Mus musculus: one gene and its partner. The protein of the gene in region 1 interacts with the protein of each later gene in a pairwise test. Links are inferred from orthologs where the notes say so. Each region holds a gene or a part of one and is shown on either strand. Other genes may lie near its edges. The genes, in order: Rtn1 and Ugcg.

Evidence for each region.
Region 2: the proteins of Rtn1 (region 1) and Ugcg interact in a two-hybrid assay, tested with the Homo sapiens proteins (2 studies listed by BioGRID and IntAct). The link is inferred for Mus musculus from reciprocal best matches to the Homo sapiens genes RTN1 and UGCG.

The regions. Positions count from the first base shown.
Region 1 is NC_000078.6:72,307,915-72,311,735, forward strand, and holds part of Rtn1 (reticulon-1), read right to left. Parts: intron 1,016-3,821; coding exon 242-1,015; intron 1-241. UniProt on the Homo sapiens protein: Inhibits amyloid precursor protein processing, probably by blocking BACE1 activity.
Region 2 is NC_000070.6:59,213,404-59,217,224, forward strand, and holds part of Ugcg (ceramide glucosyltransferase), read left to right. Parts: intron 1-461; coding exon 462-574; intron 575-3,632; coding exon 3,633-3,811; intron 3,812-3,821. UniProt on the Homo sapiens protein: Participates in the initial step of the glucosylceramide-based glycosphingolipid/GSL synthetic pathway at the cytosolic surface of the Golgi.

The DNA of each region.
Region 1 (3,821 bases):
AATAATTCTCCATAGCTTTAAGGCTACAAACTACAACAATGACCAGCACAGCAAAATGCCCTCAAGGGTACAATAGTGCTACTTATGTCTTGGATGTAACCAAAAGCTATCTAATTGAACTTTAGGTCTGCTTAGGAGGAGGGAATATATATGCCTGGAAGCCCAGCCAACTAACTGCTTTGGAACTTCAGCCCTCTGCAGGCTGGTGTTCCCCACAGTGAAGAATTACCAATGTCTCTACCTGTTCCAGAAGATGGAGGCGTGACAGATCCTGGGCTGTCATCTTCAGGCTCTGAGACAGTGACAGTGGGCACTGTGTCAGGACTTGGCTTCAGACACAGGTCTTGCTTCTCGGGGATTGTCTCTTGTGTGGCAGTCATAAGAGGAGGTTCGATCTCCGTCAGTGTGATCTTGACAGGGGCAGTGACCAGAGACACCCTGTGCTGCTCATCAGAGAGCTCATCTATGTAAGGAGCAAAGGTAGATTCTTCGAATAAGTGGTCCTTGATGAGTTTCCCCTCCACAGGAGCTGGCTGGTTTGGTGCTCGAACCCCTTCTGCTTTTGTGGAGACTTCAGTGTCCTTGTCTTTAAAGTCCAAGTCTTTATCTTCTAGCCCAGGGTGTTGCTCCTCCTGGCCTTTTGCCTCCTGTGGCCTGGTTATGTCAATGTATTTGTAGGCTTCTGCCTTCATCTGGTCTAGGGGGTCAGCTAGGATCTTGTTCACCTCAGTGGACTCAGCAGGAGTCATCTCTATTCCAGAATCAGAACTCAATAAGCCCTGTGGCTCCATCCCGGGCACTTCTGGTAACGAGGGTCCGGGGGTCTCCGGCTCCTCAGGGCTCTCGGAAGTGGTGATGTGACCATTTTCCTTCTGAAGAATTCCAGTAAAGTATGCAGAGTCCTCCCGAGGTGGATAGCAGACGTCAGAAATCAGGGATGTGTAACATGCCCCTTCCCCATCTTTTAGTGTTGAAGAGGGAGAGTGGTCGAGGGCATCGGGAACAGCTGCCATACCTGTCAATCAAAATAATAGCAGACCATGAGTAAGCTCCTGGCTGGAGGTTTCTCTCCTGCCTAATCTACCAGATATCCCTCACTGAGAAAATACAGCACTCTTTCTCAAGACACTGGAACATCAGCATGCTAATTTTCTTTGTCTACATCTCAGGTATTTTCTAGGCAACAGATACCAGCAGTTCACTGTATTTCAACAACTAATATGCTCTAACTTCATTGACTTGATTTTGGAAGTGACTGTGGGTCTGTAAAATGATCAGTGGTGTAGACAGCTGGGAAGGACTTGCTCGTGGAGGCTAACACATCTGTGCGTCGAAGGGGCTCAAGGGCCTGTCCTTGTACTCAGGGTCCTGCTGGTTTCAGATTAAGCCCATCCATCGTCTACAGGGAAAGGTACTCCTCATCCTGAAGTGTCCTTATCTCAACAGCCTGCTTCTGTATTTCCCCAGGTCCCCCTCAATGGCTTCCCCTCAGTGTCTGCTTCCAGTGAGCTCATTAGCCTCTGCGAACACCAAAGCATTATACTGAGTATTCCTTCTATCTGGTGCGCAGGGGAAAACAAGTTGGTAGATTTCACTTTACAGGTTGTTTCCCTTGGGTCTTTCTTCCTGCCCCAAGGCATTGATTATTAGAAGAAGTCAGTGAGGTGGCCCAGCAAGTAAAGTCACTTGCCACCAAGCTCGATGATCTGAATTCCATCTTCAGGAGCCAGACAGTGAAAGAAGAGAACAACCTCCCACAAGTTGTCCTCTGAGGTCCACAACAATGTATAACTTCCAACGCAATAAAATTGAACTGTTTATTATTAATTATTATTACTACTATTATTAGCATTATTATTGGCACTAGCATTATTACTATTATTATCTAGAGGACGGGGGGGAAAGTTTCTACATCTTGCTGCAAAACACTGCAAATAGAATCAAACAGAGGTCAATAAAGACTTACTATATGCCAGGCAATGGTTTGCTGACCTGATTCTTTCTTACAACAGTTTTATATATTAAATCTCAGAGTCTCAATGTCTACACATAAATAAACTACACACCTGTGTAAACACACACACACATACATACATACATACATACACACACACACACACACACACACACACACACACAGCATGTACAGTATGAAAATCCTGGACACACTGAAAGAATATACCAGACAAAGGTGCCATCTTCTGTGAAAGTGGTCATTTGGGAATACCTGTAAAATACCTATACCTAGCATGAAAACTAAGTCAGAAACAATCAATGTTTCACATGGTGAATGTCTGGCCTGAGCAACAGACAAGATTGACGCTAGCAAACTTCCTCAATAGTGGGGCGGGCGGGAGCGAGCTGATGGAGTTAGGGCCTGAAGCACTTCCCTAAGAAGTGTGCCAGCCGCTTTCAAGTGCCCACGTCCCAAAAGCTACTCTTAGTTAAAGCATACAATGTTCCAGACACTACAGCACACCCTCTGGTTGTAGAAAGAACAATGCAAAGACCAACACAGGAAGCACAACATCACAGAGGTTCTGCTCTCACTAGATGACACCAACCTGGGTAGACAGGGAAGGTCAAGAAAGGAAGTGTGGAGGCAGACCCTGACCCGTCCACTGGTGAGGGGCTGCAAGGAGAGGCACACTATGCAACATCTCATTTCAAATTTGCATTTTACCAGGTCCTCTCTGTGTCTCTCTCTGTGCGTCTCTCTGTCTCTGTCTCTCTCTGTCTCTCTCTGTCTCTCTGACTCTCTCTCTCTCTCTCTCTCTCTCTCTCTCTCTCTCTCTCTCTCTCAACAAACTTCCCAAAGGCCACAGATTGGCCTGGCCTTGAGATCTCTCTGTCTTGGGATCTCTCAACTTTTGCTGGAAATATTTCAAATTGTGTGAGGAGTTTCTTTAGCCTTGGACGGTTTCTGCGTACCTCTAGAGGGGCCTCAGCTCCCTTCCCTTCTGTGTCTGTTTCTATTTACTTTCCCCACTCGGTTTTCGCTATTGCTCTAAATCTAATGCCAAGTCTTACTCTGCTTATCGTCTTTCCAATCCTACCCTTAGTAACTAACTAAGCTCCTCCCTCCTACTGATCCCCTTCCTCTTTCTAGACAGCCCACTATCTACTTTCACATCTGTATTTGTAATGATCCAATGGGGTTCATTGGAATTGCCTGTAGGAGCAATCTTAATTGGAAGACCATTTGCACCACTGCAAATATTACCAACTTGGGGAGTAGAAAGGGGAATAGTCATTGTGAGAATGCCAGCGCTGGTAAAAATTACAAAACTTTGAAATGTATATAAAGAAAATATCTAATTAAAAAAGAAAAAAATTACAAAGCTTATTTTAGCCCCCACCCCCCATGCCAACAATCTAACAGTTTTAAATTCCCAAAGACCAAAACTCCTAAAGTCTAAAATTAAAAAAAAAAAAAAGACAGAAAGAGAACCAATCCAGAGCCCTAGAGTTAAAAATGCTGAAACCCTAAACAAATTCCCATAAATTCCCACTGAAACAGAAATGGTTCTACATGAGGTTTGAGAGGGGAACGGCTAAGGAGGACACAGCTGTGCATGGATACCTGCTAAGGCTTTTTGGTTGTTTTGTTTTGTTTTGTTTTGATTTATGACTGAGGAAGTTTCTAGGAAAAAGTAACTGTGTCTCTCAGATCTACCCCACAGAAAATAAATGTAAATGTCTTCTCTGAGGAGAGACATGCCCCCCCCCCCTGCAAAATCAAAAAACAACAATAGAGATTTGTTGTAATGTAAGGTATCAAAATATCATTGAAAGTTATAATGTAAGTCTGCTGAAGAGAA
Region 2 (3,821 bases), on another chromosome or scaffold:
GTAAGATTTTAATTTTTTTAACCTAACCTAGATGGTACATGTATTAAAACCTTTGCATTTGAAGAGAAAATCTTAACCATTAAAAACATAGTGATAGCCACTGTCTGCTCTGCAGCCCTTCTCCAGTGTAACATTTCTTGTTGGCCAGTTTGTAGCCTTTGCGCTTCTGTAATACACTATTCTACCAAAAGAGTCAAATCAATGAGCTCATGTTTCCTAAAATATGTAAACTTATTAATAAGCATTTTCATGTATTTTAAAACATTATTTAGATGGTTATAGCAAGAAGTTTCTCTCCTGGGCTAAAAATGTGTAGATTTTTGAAGTTTTATATTCTCAGAATTAGTGACTGATATTTATTAAATCCAAATGTTCTTAATTACATTAATGGACATTTTCTAAAATTCTCTCTCTCTTTTCCCTTTCTCTGTTGTCCCCTTTTTTCCCCCACTAAATTTTAGTCATCCCAGACACATTAACTGACATGGTGAATCAGATGACAGAGAAAGTGGGGTTGGTCCACGGGCTGCCGTATGTAGCCGACAGACAAGGCTTTGCTGCCACCTTAGAGCAGGTAAGTGCAGGGCTTACAAAACGTGCTTGTCACAGCAGCTCCTCCCTCAGACCTGGTTACCTGACCTCAGCTCTGCTGCCTGGTGTGGGACCCTGCTGAGAGCACCATTGTGCCTAGGAGGAAGTTCTCAGGTCCTTGGGGTCACTTACTGCTGAGCTACCCCACCCTGTGGCTGTGCATAGGGGATGTCTGGTGACCCTGTCCCCAGCTGGACACATAGCATCTTCACTGAATTCTAGATGTTCACTCCAGACTATTGTCTTCTATAATGTTCTTTTCAACAGAAAGCTACCTGATGACATATTGTAAAGTATTTAGAAAAAAAAAAAGTTCCTGCAAGTCCTATTTAAAAGAAAAAAACCCTTGATTCCCTGTTTAAATAAGTATCTTAAGAAACATATTTTCTACAAAAACAAAAAACAAACAAACAAACAAACAAAAAAACCAAGAACAAAAAAGAAACATATTTTCTTTTTTGAAATTAATATACAAAGCTCTGGATTCCTTTATGGAAGAATGAAATACATAATTTTGTTGGCTCTCTCTACTCCCTCTCCTGTCTTCCTGCCTCTACTTCTTCTCCCCCTCCCCCTTCACGTTTTTGTATGTTTTTTGGGTTTTGTTTTGTTTTTTGTAAGTTCTGGTACTTAACCAGACTAAACTAGCTTTTCACCACTGGGCTACGTTTTCAACCCTTTCTCTTCAAGGTTATTGTCAAGCTCTTATCATGTAGAGAATGAAAAACTTGTAGAGACACAGAAGAGGCATACCACCCCAGCACCCAAAGGGAAACTACCTCTGCACTGATTAGGGACAGTGAAGATCCACTTCTGTTTGATCACTTATGGCACGTGTGACTGGTTTTGGTTTTGCCTTCATACGCATTTCCCATAGTAAAGCTTCATTAAAGCCATATCTTATCCTGGACTGTTAAACAGAAAGCAACACTTGTCTTTGTCGCAAGGGAAAGGCTCTTGGTATCAGTTTTGATATTTATCCACTTCCTCTTCAGCACATCGTACATCTGTATATTTTCTTGATTCTTCTAATTGCCACAGATCTAAGAGGGTGAAGGCGCATTAGTGTTAGGACTTTGATTTGACCTTTGGCAACTTAATATCTCCCCCCCTCTCTTACTCTTATGCATTCGTATATGTGTGCTCATGTATGTAGGAGGATGAGTGTGCATATATGTAGGGGGGCGTCAGAGGTTGATATCGTATTTCTTTCTCAGTCACTTGCTAGCCTGTATTTTGAGCCATGTTTTTGCGTCTCTCACTGAACCTTGAAGCTTCTCGGTTTGACTGGACTGGCTTGGCTGGCCTGCAATGCATGCTCAGCACCAGTTTCCACAAAGTCTGGGATTGTAGGTGCACATCAAGTCCAGTTTCTTTTTTTTTTTTTTTTTTTTTGGTTTTTTGAGACAGGGTTTCTCTGTGTAGCCCTGGCTATCCTGGAACTCACTCTGTAGACCAGGCTGGCCTCGAACTCAGAAATCCGCCTGTTTCTGCCTCCCAAGTGCTGGGATTAAAGGCGTGCGCCACCACCACCCAGCTCATGGTCTCTTTCTTAACACAGCCTTGGGAAATATTTCTCTCACCGGAAGAGATTGTTAGTCTTAAAATCTTGAGTTATCTGGTTGATAAAAGGAACTACATGTAACTGTTTTAAAATAGAATACCATCATGTGCTTTTACCTTAGAAACATGCACATAGATGTCTGTATCAATGAAGGGCATTTCCCAGAATGCACCCAGTCTACTTTACTTAGAATGAATGGAGATACAACCAGAAGACTCTTCCTGCATGATAAAGAAACCTTCAACTGAACTCTAGTCCCGCCTAGTGCTGTGGCCTCGGATAACTGCTTGCCGGTTAAGATGGATGCTTCTGCTCTAGAAGTTAGGTTTGGTTCAATCACAGAAAGCTCCATTGCTTCAGTGAAGTCTGCATTGAGTGTAGGTAGCAGAATCATGTCTTAGCTGCCTTGTAAAATTCTATTACTCTGCTCTATGTGAATAACTGTGATGAAGGGAGCCTGCTGCTCTGTTCTTGAAGGTAACTAGAAAAGGCAGCATATCTGAGATATAAATAGTAAATAGGGCTTTAACAAGGGTCTAACAAGTAGGGTGGTAGTCAGTTCCAACGTGTCACAGAGAAGAAAAAGTCCAAAATTAGGGGCTGGAGCGATGGCTCAGCAGTTAGAATGAGTTCTGTTCTTCCAGAGAGGACCAGAATTGAGTTCTCAGCACCTAAAATGGGCAGCTTACAGTAACCTTTAACTGCATCTCCAGAGGATCCTGACCTTCCAATCTATAGGAACTCATTCAGATGTACATTACCCCCGTAGACTTACATGAATATACAGAATTTAAAACAATTTTAAGAAGAAATAAAATTTTCCTAAACATTGGTATCACCTATACATGCTCTGTGTATATGCATAGATACTTGTACAGACACACACACACACACACACATGCCACCAAATGTTGTAAAATCAGGAGACACTAAATTTCATTAATATTTTATATACCAGTTAATACTCTTTTATATATAAATTCCATTTTATTTGGAGTTATCTTTTTTTGGTTGTTTTTGTTGTTTTTTCTTCTTCTTCTTCTTCTTCTTCAAGACAGGGTTTCTCTGTGTAGCCCTGGCTGTCCTGGAACTCACTCTGTAAACCAGGCTGGCCTCGAACTCAGAAATCCGCCTGCCTCTGCCTTGAAAGTGCTGGGATTAAAGGCGTGCGCCACCACGCCCGGCTGGAGTTATCTTTTAATGTATTGATTTTAGAAAAGATAGTGGTTGCTTTCTGGCCAGGGAATATGCTTTTCACTCTAAAGGTAACTTTCTTGGTACTGCTGATAGCTGGGTAGTCAGCCAGACAAATCACTGCCCGAACTACAGTAGCGCAGGGGTGTGCTCCTCCTTCAGCACGTCAGGGCGCTCACTCAATCACTTGCATTTAACAGAAAGCTTTAGGGAAAGTTGGCAGGCCTCATAGTTTTAACACCAAAACCTAATTGACTATGTCCATCTGTGTTTTCTCGGGCAGGTATATTTTGGAACTTCACACCCAAGATCCTATATCTCTGCCAATGTAACTGGCTTCAAATGTGTGACGGGGATGTCTTGTTTGATGAGGAAGGATGTGCTAGATCAGGCAGGAGGGCTCATAGCCTTTGCTCAGTACATTGCTGAAGATTACTTTATGGCCAAAGCAATAGCCGACCGGTAAGTGAAC